Astyanax mexicanus: one gene and its partner. The protein of the gene in region 1 interacts with the protein of each later gene in a biochemical or structural test. Links are inferred from orthologs where the notes say so. Each region holds a gene or a part of one and is shown on either strand. Other genes may lie near its edges.

Region 1 (8,535 bases):
TTCCAAAGTTCTTATGAACTTTTACATACAGGCTGTATTGTTTTGACTTTTTTTTCGAGCTGTAAGTCTGCATATTTACATTCTTTTCGTTATTGCATGACTATTAAAGCTTGTCTAGGTGTGCTGGTGTTTCCAAAGGTAAGACTAATATCGTTGGAATACCCTTCTTCTAGTTTTGTGCTGTGCTAGATCTATTTTGTAATGTCCACAGAGCGGGACTGGACTTGTGTAATTGCTGCAGTTGGAAAAACTAGGCCTTGTCTAGCCTGAACAGCGTCGGAGTTTGAGATCCCTAATGTCCGCCAATTTGAGCTGTTTGGACAGCCAGGAATCGACTGCTCGGATGTAATTATTGGTGACATTTAATGGGGTAAAAAAAGCAAAACCTCACCTTCTCAACACCCCGCCGAGCAGGGAAGCGTTGAGGCACTCGGGCGGCGAGAGGCGTCTCTGCACTTCTGCTACCGTGACCTTGTACTTTGAGGTGGAGCTGAGTAGAGACAGGCGGCCAGGGACCGAGCAGAACACTTCGTTTGGGTTGACCACGCCGCCGAAGAGCCCATCTTTGTTAATGGGGATGGCCGACACATTGCTGTTGTTCTTAGACAAGGAAACAGGACCTAGAAGAAAGCAGGACATGATTTTGAGAACCTTCATATAGTCTCATGGAATGGGGATGGAGATAGGTATGGGTATGAGGGGTAAGAATTGATATTCACACAGACAAAATATGGAATAAGCGTATGCACCGCATCTCGTCGCAGGCCTGTGAAATCAAAGGCAATATGTTCTTATCTGAGGAGGAGGGGTGAAAGGAAAATAGATACGATAGCAGTGGCTTTTCATTCAGCTCATGAATGTAACTGCTCAAATGTGCCTCGGGTAATGAAGTGGCCCAGCCATCAAAATATTTAATATTAGCGCGATTGTGACTGCAGTGCAGGCTTAAAGAATATGACAGCGGAACGTGCGCGGGATTTGCTGCGATTTGGACACTGTCTGGATGACCCGCCGAGGGGGGTAATGAGAGAAACAGCGCATCTGTAAACACTATGTGATGCCCTTGCCTGATTTTTCAGAGTTTTAGCATAAAGAAAAAAACATTGTTTAAAAACGGTGTTCAAAAATGTCCACATTCTTGTAATAATAATAATAATAATAATAATAATAATAATAATAATAATCAACTAATTGTCACGTTCAGTCACATTTAATCAAAAGTAATCTTTACATCCCATCTACTGTTCTAAAAGACCTCATTCAGAAATAGGCTATTCTGCTTATTGCACATTTTCCAGATTCCCTCACTCTTTCTCTCTCACAGACACACACACGCGCGCGCGCGTTCACAAACACATGGAATAAAACACGCTCTTTTTCACACTCTCTCTTTCTCTCTCTGTCACACACACACACACACTTGCCCAACAAACCCAGGAGCAGCGCATGTTGTAGTGTATCTTTGCAGGGGTGCCCAGTTGCGTTGCACGGTAAACGGAGACAAAGGCCCGCGCACGTTTGGATAGATCACTAGTGACATTAATGGCTCAGCGGAGGCTAATAGAGACAATGGCAGTTAAGCGAACTCCGGAGATTGCTAATATAACAACCAATTACGGCGCAGATATGGAGAGAAAAAGAAGACATCCCTTAATATTCACCCACGACGAATTTAACAAACGCATCGAAAAAAAAAACATAAAATAAAACGAGTTGCCCGGATTCAATTTATGCATTCATTCTCTTCCAACCAGGAGACAAAGCCAACTCTACAGCACCAAACTGTTAGAAAATCAACCACGGTTCTCGTGGATAAAGTATCAAAAATCCGTGCTCGCCCAGCGTTAAGGCTGCCATTTTAAATGCAATCATGATGGTGCAGAACTAGTCGATATAAAGAACGCACCATTTTTCTCTCTCTCACTCACTAATACACACATGCACACAGACACACACGCTTACGGATATGCTATACAGGGCGATTTTTAGCTGTAGCAAATTTCAAATAATTTAGACTTTTAAATAGACTTTCTAGAAAAACAGGCCTGCAAAAAGTCTTATTTTTAAGGTGAGATTGTGCAGAGCCAATACGGACGCAGGGTTTTTTTAAAAGCCGCATACCTTTCTTGATGACGGTCTGGTCAGGGATGTGAATTCCTTGATCCTCAACATGCTGTAAAATAGTTCAGAATAAGCCATTAAAACACACTCAGAATGTAGAGAGGCTTCTATTTGGTTTGGCAAAATCAGATTGCTAAGCAAACGAGGAACCATTCAATGAATCTCATCACTGTTTATGACAGTCCACTACCAAATGCATAGTGATGTGTAGCACAATAAAACTGTACTTTATCTCTTGCACAAGCTGTAAAAAGACAAATACATGAGAAATTACAACGATGCTTTAAAAATATTTTTAATCGATTTAAATATACTGGTTATTTTTATTATTATTTTTATTTATTTCTCCCATCCCACCTGCCTGGCGATAAATGAAATAAATGTTTTCTACGCAGTGAATATATATGGTATTATTCCTGAGTATTTCTGAAAAATGTTTCCGGGTCGAATGCGTCATTTAGCCTCGTTATTTCTCTTCGCTTGAATTTTTTCACGGGGCAGACTACAATTAAATTAAAGGGGAAGGAAATGGGGGAAGAGGAGGAGGGTAACCAGGAATCACGTCCAAAAAATGACAGAGAGTATTAAAGCAAAATGTGCAATATAGCATGTTATGTTCCTGAGATGACGGTGCAATTATTTGATTGTTAATAAAGTACTTATTATAGTACTTTTTTACTTTAGTCTTTTTGAAATATAAAAAATGCAAAAGACAAAATCACACAGTAAATTCACCAGTGTATAAACAACACTATTAGTGCTAATTTAATTTAAAAAGTGTATAATGTAACACCGACAGCTTTGATTTAACACTGGCACATTTTCTGTCCAGATAAACATGCTGGCTATTTAAAAATAATTTTAAAGAAACGCAAATTTCCAGTTTTTAGTTAATATATATATATATATATATTATATTGTTGAGGTTAACAAAAACACAGAATCTAAATTCTGAAGGCTCAAATGCCTTTAAATCGCATATTAAATACATACCTACATTAAATACATACATACATACAAGTCACCACTACTTACTGTACCAGTACTAACCAGTAAAACTATTTTAACACGCATTTGTTGGCCCGATAATTAGTAACTTTTATTTCCAGACAAATACATTGTTTACAGTTTCACCATTAAAAAAGCTTTAGAATACAAAACTACAGGATTACGAGAAGTTTTGCTCTTACCTGCACGTCGTCTAAAGAGTGAGGTATTCCGTGGATTGGGATAGAGTCTGTAAGGCCGGTCTCGAGACCGTGGCCGGACGGCAGCAGAACCTCTCTGCGGTATTCCCGGCACAGTTGGTGGGGCAGGCCGCGGTGCTGGTGCAGTAGACTGCTCTCCTGGCTCTGCCGTTGGCTTGGCCATCCCGGGTGCTGGGGCTGTGGTTGCGCGTGCAGCGAGTTGATGGAATAGGGGTCATTGACGTGCGAATAAGGGTCCTGAGACTGCGGATAGATGGGCTGGTAGGGCGGCGGGAAGTAGGGCGGCTGGAAGTCCGAGTTGGGCGTGTGAGAAAGCGGTGGCGCACTTGTGTACGGTGACTGACCCACACCGCCCAGTTGAGGTAACCGGGCCGTGCCATTGCTGGTCCCGTCATGGCGATCCTGCAAGACGGAGAGAGAGAGAAGAAAGAAGAGAAAATAAGAAAGGGCGGACAGCAACAAGAATTCTAAAGAATTTCGTGCAAAAAATATCAGATTTTTTTCATATTATAGTGGCCAAACAATAATACTAATAATAGTATTATAATATATTATTACTAATATAATACTACAACTCCCACTACTACTACTGATACGACTACTATTAATATAATAATAATAATAATAATAATAATAATAATAATAATAATAATAATAATAATAATAACAATAATTTTTGACTACATAAATCAATTTCGTTTCCCATAAAATACACATAAAATTGTAAAAAAAAAAAAAAAACACACAAAAATATATTCAAATATTGAAAAAAAAATATCAAGAGCTCACATCCAGTAAAAAGTCTTTGTAATGGTATTTGATATTAGATATTATGGCTTGCATGACGATGCAGACATAAATATACACAAAAAGGGAAAAAAGACGGTCCTCTCTACACTTTCATCCCGCCAGCCCCGCACTCACTCACCATCGCGGAAAAGCTGTGCACTAACATCTGAAGAGATTTCCGAGCGTTTCTGCAAGGAGAACGCAAAAACCTGGGCAAAGAGCCGGAGCGGTCGAACCGGAATAAAGAGCCCACAGCACTGAGGCGGCTTTTCTATGTATTTCTCTTTCTTTCTTGCGTTCTTTCTGTTTGTCTGTGCGTCGAGGTCACGGAGTCCCAGTATTCAAATACGCGGAGAAGAAGCACGATAATCCATCAGAGCCTGGGTAAAATTCCCAATGTTCTTCATCTGCTGTTGGAGACGGAAACCAAAACCAAAATAAAAAAATTCAAAAAAGAAAAAAAGAAATAAATGCAGTTTTGTTGTTGTTGTTTGGAGGGTCTTGGCGGATCGGAGTGTTTTTTAAGTTTCTTAGATCCTCTTTTCCTTCGCCTCCTTCGCTCTCTCAGTAAGCTGTTCCCTCGCTTGGGCGCATATTTAGCAAAAGAGCTGCCTCTTCTTCCTCTCGGACTCCTAATAGCAGATATTCATGACTATTAATATTACACGAATACTTAATAAGGGAAGAATGGTCGGAAATCGAGCGTGAAGCGAGGAAGCAACTCAAGGCAGACTCCGCACTAAATGACGTCCATTGAATGAGGAATCAGTATATCTAATCAGAGATGGGGAGAGAAAGAGAGGGGGAGTGGGTGAGAGAGAGTGAGAGAGAGAGGGAGGGAGGAAGAGAGAGACAAAAAGAGGGACATTCTCTGGCGTCTGACGAATCAGAGAGAGAGGGGGGCGTTTTAAAAGATTTGAGGGCGAGGAAAAGTGAAAGAACGAACGACAGAGAGAGAGGAACCCAACTAAGAACCGAAGCAAAGAAAACGTCGAGCGCCTCAGACTGCTAAGAGAATCCGACGAGGGCTAGGGAATTTCTGAGCATGTTTGGTGCTGTTCCTTCTCTTTTTACTACTTTTCTCTTTTTGTCGCATGGCCTTCCCAAGCTGCTCCCCGAGAGCTCAGCCACATGACTAACAACACACAGCTGAATTGGCTCTATGAGCTGGCCAAAAAAACTCCAAAGTTTACGACTTAACGTTTACTCAAAACATACACACGCACACACACAGGGACAGAGCAAACGTCCACCCCTCCGCTTCTCGGCTTATTCGCACGCGATCCTGTTCATCACGGGTTTTTTATTTAAAAAACAAAAATACTCGATGTAAATTAAATTAAACGAGCAAATAAATAAAATCACACAAGCTTGAACAATTCGTGCGAAAGAAGAGTCAAAATTTATGTGTCTGTCGTCCGTAGGGGAACAAAAACATGCTCGACTGGCTGCAGCAATCCACACACTCCACACAAACACACGGGCAGCACCGTCCTAACCTTCCTTCCAATTGAGCGATCACACCGATACAGCTTTAAAAGAAACAGCTACAGCAAAACCACCGTGCTAATTTTTGGTAGTTTATTTTTAGCATTAAAATTAATTGATTAAAATCTAAATAAAATAACAAGTGTTACTTAATAATAACATTGATTAGTATCACTTATTTTTTAGTAACATATAATAACATTATTATTAATAATATTAAAAAAATAATAATAAATAAAATAATAATAATATCACCATCATTATTAATATTGTTATTATTTTTACTAGTATTACTCTTAATAATATTAATGCTATCAATGCTAATAATAGTAATGAAAATTGTATTTTTAATAATAATTATTATAACAATACATTGACATTAGCATTTAAAAAAGTTAATAATATGTTTCTATGTTTATTTATGCAAATGTGTTTGGGGTTTTTATTTTGCAAGTTGTGTTTTTGTCAAAAATGCTGTATTACTCATGATTTCATCATCCGGAATATTTACTATTTACTATATATACTATTATATATTAATATTGTTATTGAGACAATAATAATTGTTATTGATATTAATTATATTGTTATTATTTCTAAACAAAAATCATGAACATGTTTGATAACGAAAGCACGTGCAGATATGTAAAAAATATGAAACACTTTTAGATATGCATTACTTATTATTAAATAAAAATTATAATGAAATACACTATAAAATTCTGCAGATTTTTTTTCAAGCGCAACAAAAATATCTTAAATAGAAATAAACTCGTTTCTTACCTCACAGTCTTCATATTTAATATTATCTGTTAATTTCCACAGCATTTTCATGGGTTGTGAAGTGAGTATAGAGCGTCTTTGCCTAGTTTTACACCCAGTGCGCAGAGCTCAAGATGGCAGAGCTTCGGCGGGCTGAGCAGTGCGCGCGCTCAGATCTCCCTCTAATGGTGGAAGTTTAGAGGCTCGCACAGCGCTGGTAGAACTCCCTCATTAGCATATCAGCTTGATTTTCATCTAGCCATCACCAATGAACACACTCAGGTACAAAAAAAAAAACATTCGCTCAGAGATCTGAAGTCTGAAGTGTTTGGAGAGCTTTGTTTTCCTCCCCAACTCCAACAGAGGTACAGTAGGCTATCTGCTGGGTGAGAGCTCGAGAACATCTAATATACATCCCCACTTCAGCTAGTAGTAGTATTTGCTGTAAAGTAGTTTGGCAAAATGCAAGTTTACCTATAATGCGCAAGCTCAGCTGAAAAAAATGTGCATGAGACCAAAAGGAACAAAACTATTTCCAACCTTGTAAACAAAAAAAAAACATTTATATTTTAACTACATACTATAAATCTATATTTATATTTCAGTATATATAGGCCATTTATTATTATTATTATTATTATTATTATTATTATTATTATTATTATTATTATTATTATTATTATTATTATTATTATTATTATTATCATCTAATTGCATCTGTCATTTTTTATTGCACCGTTTCAGGTGCAATTCAACATTGCTGCAATGACAGCTCTCAAAACCAAGCTTCTTCTTTAGCATATCAGTGACCTTTATGGTACAATGCAAATATCCAGCACACCTCTCCGTCGCCACAGATACTTTGTTGGCGCAAGGATTTTCGTAAACTGTTGTTTTAGACCCATTGAGAAGCTTAGCCCGCGAGACGCTGCTGTCTCTGTTATGCAAAGCGGTCGATTCTAGTGCAGGTACAGGAGCTCCATTGAGAGTGCTGTTTTGGAGCTGTCAATAATTAACACAACAACGTGCGGTCGTTAAATGTGAATGAGGGAGTGGACGACGAGAGGGGCTTGGCCCCGCGACAGCGGCGACACGAGCACCCCGGGACCCCGGGTCACGGCGAAAAGGCACATGGGCGACAGGTTTAAGGCGTTGGCCTTCTCCATTTCAGTAGCTATTATCATTGGTGTGGGGGGTAAAAAAACAGCCATTGAAAGCAGTTGTCATTAATGAAAGGGCAAAATGAAACTCGCTCACAATAGCAATTATTAGGGCAGAGAAAAGTGCAGCAGAGGTGCATGGGGCCGTAAAGACACCGGGCTGGTGATAAGCAGCAAGCTCTGCTGAAACTAGGGCCAACCTCACTGCATTCTTCTGCAGATATGTTTAGGCTTATAGAGTGTATTTTTTGCGCCCCCCCTTGCTGTTCAGCGATCGTGGTGGGAAAACTCCGCGTCCTGCCCTTCGATGCTAAATAATACCTGTGTTGGGGTTTAAGAAAATACATTTTAATACTTTACCTGTTGTGTTAAGAAGCTTTTGACGACAAAAAAACTAGTGCAGTTTACTTGGTTGATTTAATTCTCAAATAATAATAATAATTTACCACTTGCAAAATTTAGTATGATTAATTTGGCAATGTTTAAAGAGTATATATATATATATATATATATATATATATATATATATATATATATATATATATATATATATATATATATCAGCCCTTGTAATATATATATTTCCTTCAGGACAAAAGTTCTCCAGACAGTCTTATGTTGACTGTTTTGTTTTTTCGTCAAAGGCTTAGAGTAAGATTTGCTTAAAAAATGCACGATTTCTCCGATTCACCAATTCACGCGTTAAACTTTTCACTTCAATTTGAAGCGATCAATTCCTTGGCACGTGAAAAGTGCGGCTGAAACAGAATGTATCTACTAGTTGCAGTGGCAATAGTTACCGCATTAAGTATAGGCTACCTGTGTTCAAAAGTAAAAGCAAGCACACACACACAGACACACACATAAACACACACACACCTCCATGACCCAAAGGGATAGCACGTACCTGCCAATCTAACATTTTGCCCACGACTGACATGCTTGATTCTTCTTGCTGGAGAGGACAGATCACACGCCGTGCTATCTCATTTAGGCTCCTGTCCTTA
Region 2 (8,458 bases), about 50 Mb from region 1:
TTCAGGCAGTTCAGTTTGGTTTGATGGCTTGTGATCATTCATCTTCCTCTTGATTATATTCCAGATGTTTTCAATTAGGTGAAATCAAAGAAACCCATCATTTTAAGTGGTGTCTTATTTGTTCCAGAAGCCATCAACAATATAATTTTCTGCATTAATGCTGCAACACAAAAAAAAAACTTTACTGACACAACCCCATACCATGGTGTACTTTGGCTTTTGGACTTGCTCCTAACAATTTGGATGGTCTTTCTCCTCTTTTTTCCAGCACATGCTGTTTATTCCTTCCTAGAAAAAGAAAAGCTGACTAGTGTGACCACAGTACACATTTCCAATGTGTGATGTCTATCCTAGATGCCTCAGAGACTTAGACCACTTCTGGACCTGGTTAACATAAGCCTTCTGTTATGCTCAGAAAAAGGTGGTATTTGTGAATGTAACTTCATTTTTATTATACTTGATGAAAGTGATCACAAGTAATAATGGTAATGTAGTTCCAACATTCTGTTGTTGAATAATGGTTTTTGATGAGTAAGGGGAGATCACAGGTGGTTAGTTTAGGCCTGTGTCCCTCCCCTTTACACACTAAAATCTTCCTGAATCCTTGAACTCATGATATTATGCAATATTGATATTATGAATATGATATTAGGAAGAAATGTATTTTGTGGATTTGTACCAAATTATGATTATGAAAACATGTTGACATCACATGTTAAAATCACGTCATTAGGTAAAACTAGTTTGGTCTGAAATGAAGGAATGGATTTGTATAAACAAATGTGATGAAGTTGGCCAGACAAACAATAGCTTAGGTTCATACTGTCTGCAATGAAATAGACGTCAAAGTTAATGTAACATTTGTTTTTCCATTTGCATTTTCCATACTGTTCCAACTTATTCTGATTTGTATTTATTGTAGAAAGCCTTCACTTGGCAGTAGAGACAGCTGCTACAATAAAAGCAGAATCATTTCAGAAGAAATACAAATGAGCTGGTGTCCAAGTACATTTGTCCACTTAATGTATTTAAAGGTTGGCTCTTTGAATTGTTATGGTTCAGTCAACCAGACAAAGCATCATGTAAGTATTTTTGGTTCCATGTAGAACCATAGCCTTGTCTGAAAAGAGGTTTATGAGTGTAAACCTGATTACACATACAGTTCCTAAAAGTTTATATTATCTGAAGATTCTTTGAACCGTAAAAAAGGGTTTTTAGACAAAATTTTCTAAAGAACAACCCACTTAATTGTTTAAGGGAACAACACATTTGTTATTCTACGGGTTCTATGCATTACTTTCAGGCACATTTGAAAAGTTAAAATAAATAAAAGCTTCTATATTAGGAAATAGGCATATACAGAGTCTAAAAATACTAGAATTTTGTGTTTTCAAAGCTGTACTCAAGTACAGTATTATTTGTAGGTATTGTCTAATGCCTTTTTTGAGTCATAATTTTGGTAAATTTGATTGACATGCAATGGATGGGAAAGAGGAATGTGCAATCAAACTTCTGTTCTTCTCAAAGATCACAAGGTACCAACTGTTTTTAGAAAAATGAGTTTTAAATAAATGTGCTCAGGTGTCCAAACAATGTGCACATTCCTCTGCACATTAATGATGTAGTATTGTAACCAAATACTACTGATAAAGTACATAAACCCAGTGCCATACACATCTATAAATTAAATGACCTTGACAGTGTTCACTTCAGTAATACATTTCTGCTGCTTTATTCATGTTTGCAAATTAAAATATAATAAATTAACATTTTCTTCTAAAAAATATACAAAAATACTGTCAAACTTTCCTAGAAAGCCTCAACACAGTAGTATTGCCATGTATCGCATACTAGATAAGCACAGTGGTGTATCTATAACTGATGGAGGTGATAATCCCACATGGCCTTCCTTTAAGAACATTCCAGGCTTTGTTTTTAATCTCCACTCACAAAAAGAGCAGAACAGGGCAGTGGATATTCAATACAGCAACATTTTTCTCCACCGTTCCCTTAAGACTTACTGTCCTATATCTTCTTAAATATCTCTCCCTGTTTGATACCATAGTACCAATTTTAGCATGAAGCATAGAACACACCTACACACACACACATCACTCCCACAGTTGATTCTTTTCAGTAAAATTATGGAGGAACAGGTCTCTGAATGATCTTAGCTGATAGATCAGACGATCAGGAAGCTGTAGGGAAGAATGTTAATGGTTCAAAGCTTCCACCCATGGTCTCTCAACAGCATAGATATTGTGTAAATATTATGGCCACTGAAGTTTACAGCACATTGCTGAATGGGGACAATTACACTATATACTGGTCTACAATCATGATACATAACCACCTACATAGTGATGCATCCACACGAGTTTGATCTCACTCAGGTCTTCCGATCAACAGCTTTAAATAACACAGGAAACTGAAGGATTTGACCAGAATGCACAAGTTGGTATCTTGTCTCTGCTACAAATCAAAAGATGCTGAACAAACAGCTCATGGGTTCTAGGCTTCCATTGTCTTCTCCACGTGTCCTGCAGACTCTGTGTCAAAAAAAAAATCATGTGGTGTTCTGCATGACCTATTGGGGGTGTCACTCAGCCAAGGAAAAGTGTTTCAGGCATGCACCCCTTATGCTAAACACACTCATTATCACCAACCATCATCTACAACATGGGCTCGTTCAGAATAGAAAAGAAAAAAGTTCAATCCCCATCTGGCCCCTTCTTGTTGTGGTTGCTGTAGTGGATTTTTCCTTAAAAAAATGTCAAGAAAGAAAAATAACAAAAGAAAACAAAATAAAAGAAAAATGACTATACAAAATAAAATGGAATGTCAAGTTTAAATAAAAGAAAATGTGAAACAAAATAGTGTCCATAAATAAAACAAAAGAGGGAAAAACAATCATAAATCACAGAAGCTCCAGGGTTTCGGTCAGTTATGAGAAATGAAATAAGCAGCTTTATAAAAGCCCCCTCTGCAGTGGTAGTAGTGGTGTGTCAGTGGTGGTATATTAGCAGCTGACTCGGCTGGGCTGCTGTTTGCACACAAAGTCCGTCATGAAGTCGAACTCGTTCTGGCCCAGCCACAGCTCGGGCAGCTCCTTTATCCTGTCCAGTCCCATCTCCACCACCAGCGCCATCAGCACCTCCTCGTCGATCAGGTCCGTGTCGATGACGCTGTGCGCGGCGGGGAGCTGCGGGGGCTCCCTGCCCGCCGCCCCGAGCCTGGCCCCGCCGTCCCGGAACCCGCCCTGCAGCTCGTGCGGGTAGTGGAGGAGGTGCTGCTGGGGTTGGGGCTGGGGCTGCTGCGGGTGGTGGTGCGGGTGGTGCTGGGTGTAGTACTGTGTGTTCAGCTTCTGCAGCTGCATGCTCGCCGCCAGCTGCCCCTGACCGCCGGTGGCCACGAACTGAGAGGCGAAGCGCGCGGGAACCGCCACGCTGCCGCCCGGGTGCCGGAGCCCGTGGCTTCCAGCGCCGCTGCTGTAGTGCATGGGCTCCAGCATGCCGTTACTGTAGCCGTGCTGCTGCTGCTGCGGCTGGAGGGGGCTGGAGAACTGCCCCATGCCCATCCTGCGCTGCTGCTGCTGCTGCTGCGGGTGGGGGTGATGGTGCTGGTGGAGACCGTTCACGGCTTCAGGGAATCGGCCATGGTTCATAGCCATCATGCGGTCGACCATTCCCCCCTGCGGGACGGGGGGGGGGGGGGAGCAGGAGGGGGGAGAACAGCACACGCACGCGGCGGCTCAGGCAAAGCACCCCATGCGTGCACAGCGCGCCGCGTCGACCACAAGCAGCACCAGTAGCAGAACTTTCAGCCTTTCCCAACCAGATCACTTCAGCTGAAGATGCGGTGGAAATCCCTGGAGCTGAGCTGAAGGAGGAGGTCAGAAAATCGCAAAACGCTCCAAAACTCTTCTTTTACTTCCTTTAGTGGCTGAAAAAAAGTATACAAACAACTCCAAAAGACTGGACTCGATCCCTAATCCCAGCTCCCAGTGAAGCCCGCGCTGTGTCCGCTCCTCAAAAACACCGAAACACACTAAAACACACTGAAGCAGCTCACTACAGCACACTGCTCCGAGCGCTCGCTCTCACACTCAGAAACACACACCTTCAGAGAGGGGGCGGGGCCACGCGGATTCCAGTAACGCCCCCTCGCGCTGGGATTGGTCAGTGGGTTCGGGCTATTCCTGCGCTGCGACTGGCCTCCTCCACTCTGACTCACACTCACGACTCTGAGGAACACCAACCAGCTCTGCAGAACACGAAACACTCAGCCAATCCCAGCGCACCGGAGGCGTGGCCTGTCGGAATAGAGGCGGGAAAGAAAAGCAACATAGGAGAAACCGAAGTCTGGATTCACAAAACATGCAGTGGAGGTAGAGGAGCAGTGTCCTCTCAGAGCTGAACATTACCTCACTGCAGCTATTTCTGTTCAACAGTCACAAACACCCCGGTCACGTCTCACTGTGTAGCACACAGGTCCTGCACTTCCCTCACAGCCTCAGAACAACAGCTAATGATAAAACAGTCAACTGCTCCAAGGGATTTGTTGTCGTTGTCTTTAAATGGTTGTCTGTTACAGCTGGCTTAAAATAACTGCCTGGAGGAGTCAGTTTTAGAGAGTAAACAAGGAGGATTAGCCTGCTCAACAACATTTAATTAAACTGCAGTTTCCTTCACCCACATCCCATGCTTAATGCTCTTTCACATCCAGAGTGACTTATTTTTGGACATAAAAACATGCCATTTTTTAGAATAGTGGAACGGTCACGCCAAGTCTGGCAGCATTTTTCACCTCTGTGTTCTGTAAACAGGGCTTCTTCCACTCATTCTGTTTCTCTGTTCTCTGTCTGCTTTCTGTTCTCTTTAATTCCTCACTGGTGCTCACTAGTATGAGGAGCTTAAGTTTGTGGCTCTTTATGAAACATGAACAGATTAGAATAAATCTAGACGTAAATACTGGTGCATCTCAAAAATTTTTAATATAATTTAAAAGTTACTTTATTTCAGTAATTCAGTTCAAAATGTAAAACCCATATATCATATAGATGTATTTAACAGAGTGATCTATTTTAAGCCAGAGTCTGGAGAAAGAGTGGAGAGGCACACATTCCAAGCTGCTTGAGGTCTAGTGTGAAGTTTCCACAATCATTTTTGGGGGGTAAAAGTGTCAAACTATATTATAGAATTATAGTAATCGAAATACCAACAAATACCAAGCCACCTAATTAATTCATATATTGGCAGATATATCTAAATATTCATAGTAATTGTAACAAATCAGTAGAAGCACATTGCATGTGTTTCTGTTCAGGCATGCACGCTGACACTGTGTTGCTTCAGTTATTCCGAGGTGAAGGACAATAGCATTCCAAATTTGTTTAATGCCGGAGCTGTTCGAATCAGTCACACTAGGGAATCTAACTAATGAGCCTCACACCCACTAAAGCCTTATGTTAGAAACCTATTGCACATTTTGGTGTCATAACCAATCAGTTCAAGAGTTCGGTGTGCCTCTTGTCTACATGGAAAACAACCTGCTGTACCAAAGTCCAACTGGGCCGTACAATCTTTAGTTTGTTGGGGATATTTCCTTTCCCTGCATTATCTCTTGATTCCTGTTGATTCTAAAAAAGTACACTAAACTCAAATAGACACGCGATAGTTTTGTTTATAGCATATTAATATGTGAAATGCACCAAAACATTACCTTTTGGAGGCACAATGATTGTAATAAATCAAATAAGTTTTTTTTCTGCCTGTGCAACAGGGGTAACAGTAATAAAGAAACCTGTAAATAGATTTTTAGACGAAGAAATATGCAGGATTCCATTTTTTTATATTTCATGTTTACCATCTTTACTAAACCAGTTATACAATTTAGTGTATAAAATGTATATATAAACTTGTTATTGCAATAACAAGGCATCACTTAAAACATGAAAAAATGCAAGATGAGCAAATGAACATATTTAATCAGAGCCAGTACTTTATTTAACAAGTAAGATCACTTCTTATTTTTGAAGGATTTTGTATGGGTAACAAAATAGAATATAAGAATTAGAAACTGGCAATGTCAGCTGTATAAACAATCTTTGCTGAGGCCTCCTTCGCAAGCTTTACAAACACTGCTTCTTATAGTGGGAAACGCAATTGCTTGTTGTTTTGGTCACAATTCTGTTACGTGTCTGTGTGTAAAACTCAAGCTTCAGTCAGCTAAGATCCCGAATAGTCAATAATAAGCCAGCCCCGCTGGTGCACCGACCTCAATCAGAGGCTAAGCAGCGGCTTGAAAGCAAAAGTGCAGGGGCAAAGGGGAACAAAGCACAGTGGTAGCACATGGATCTCCCATGTGTAGCTTATCACAGAGCTGCTCCCACCCACCCCTCTGTTTATCCTCTGCGCTTCCTGAAAGGTGCAGGGGGAAGGTGTTTTATGTTTATCTAGTGTAGACTGCAATAAATCACTCATGACTATTGAACTGCCTAGTCCCCAAAGCCCGGCCCAATCAGATGTGTTAATGTTATTGCGTAAAGTAAACATGTGTATTGCAAAGAGTGATCTGATGTATTATTATATCCAATATTTCAATACATTTGCATTTCATGCATAATCTGAGTAAGTACCAAAATAAACAAACATAAAATAGTACCACATACATATTTAAACAATATTTAAAGTAGAGGTGTGTGAATGTGAAAAATCTCTACTTGATGCTAAACTTCTTCACCCATTTCTATTACAAACATGCCTTTTTATGAGTCTTTATGGATCAAATAAGGTTTCTCTATGTCATTACTGTAAGAACCAATTGAAGCCTCTGTAATTTAAAGCCTCTGCAAAAATTTTAAATAGTACTATTTAAAGAGTATATATGTGTGTATTTTATGATCTGTTTGTATTTTTTAGTCTGCTTAGTTTTTTAATATTGTTTTTGACCGGTCACTCTGTACTCTCCTGAACTCAACAACCATCCCCTTATTTTTTCCACATCCTGGAACAGGTTAAGACCCACCACAGTTGTGTCATCAAGGAACTTGCAGACAGCAGAGTGAACAGCACTTGCTTCAGTCGCTGAGATCCTTATTTTTACTTTTTTAACCTTAAATTTAAGAACTGCCTGTTCAGATGCTGCCTAAAATATTCCACCCTTTACTTGGTGCTACTCTCACCAGATATACTTCACTTCATTTGTCAGTGGTTTTATTGTTATGGCTGCTTGATTTTTATTGATCTCTGTTTTTAAAAGGACTTCATTTCCTTCACATTTTTCTTCAGCCGTCCCAGATCTGTTGTATGTTAGCAGAGTCATCCGGCTAATTTCTTCCCACTTTCAGAGGTTCAGCATGTCAGGAAAGAATGTGAAGCATGTATCTTTGATGAATCTCATGGCTGAGCATCGAGTTCAACCCACTTGTCTTTCATGGAGCGCACACTCTGTGAGCTTGGTGGCGAGATAACAGAGAGCTCTCTCCATGTAAGGAGACACCTGCTTTTCCAAACAGATTCAGAGAAAAAAACGTCAGCCTTCATTATGCTGTGGATAAACATGTCCATTTCAGCAGCGTTATTGGAGGGAATAAAGGCTGATGTGAGTCATCTCTTGTCAGCTTTAATTGAACAGTGAGCTGGAGTGAAAGCCAGAGCTCTTATGTTCTCTATGTGAAAGAGGGTTTATTTACAGAATGCTACCTGAGGGTTTTGTTTATATTCAGATTTCATTTAATGTGTTTGCTTAAGGTTACATTTCTCTCCATAGTGTGAACAATGATTTAGCACACTTTTTGATGAATCGCTGTGTTCATAATTTTCATAAGCCATTTTTGAAAGGATTGCCATCAGGTACTGCTGAGGGATGTATTAGTTATGTCAGCTTTATTAAAAACATTTACCTTACTCTTATTCTCCCTAGTCACACGCATTATTTAGGTATACAATTCCAGACTGTGGCCCATCTGTTGTCATGCATTATTTGTGAGCCACCCTCTGTTCAGTTCATCTGACCACATGACTGCCGTTCACTAGATATTATTTGAGTGATGAATGATTCTCATGTCAGTGAAGTGATATGTATTCATTTTTACGCAAAACTATACTGAAAAAGACATTATCTGCACATATTAGTGCACACTTTTTGTTTGATTTTACACAAAAACAGAAAAAGGAAAACAGCTAACCATGAAGATGACACAAGAGACATGCTGCACCCTTCTAACATCAAATGGAATTGTAGATAACAGGCAAACACAGTTAGGGCCAGAAGTATTTCTAAACATCTTTATTTGAGCATACAAATGGCATGGCAAAGTTTTGCTTACAATAACTCCTTTGAAATGTTCTTTTTCTTGCTGACAAAAAAAAAGGCTTAGCTATAAAATTCCTACAGCGATGCTTTAAAATCTAGTAGAAAGCCTCCATTGAACAGTTTAGACAGTTACCCAAACAAA

The links.
Region 2: the proteins of tfap2a (region 1) and cited2 form a complex in vitro, tested with the Homo sapiens proteins (2 studies listed by BioGRID, with this or other methods). The link is inferred for Astyanax mexicanus from reciprocal best matches to the Homo sapiens genes TFAP2A and CITED2.

The regions. Positions count from the first base shown.
Region 1 is NC_064408.1:107,712,872-107,721,406, forward strand, and holds the start of tfap2a (transcription factor AP-2-alpha), read right to left. Parts: upstream 4,203-8,535; 5' UTR 4,173-4,202; coding exon 4,119-4,172; intron 3,732-4,118; coding exon 3,312-3,731; intron 2,174-3,311; coding exon 2,122-2,173; intron 621-2,121; coding exon 392-620; intron 1-391.
Region 2 is NC_064408.1:57,925,095-57,933,552, reverse strand, and holds cited2 (cbp/p300-interacting transactivator 2), read right to left. Parts: upstream 4,169-8,458; 5' UTR 3,686-4,168; coding exon 3,020-3,685; 3' UTR 1,704-3,019; downstream 1-1,703. UniProt on the Homo sapiens protein: Transcriptional coactivator of the p300/CBP-mediated transcription complex. Acts as a bridge, linking TFAP2 transcription factors and the p300/CBP transcriptional coactivator complex in order to stimulate TFAP2-mediated transcriptional activation.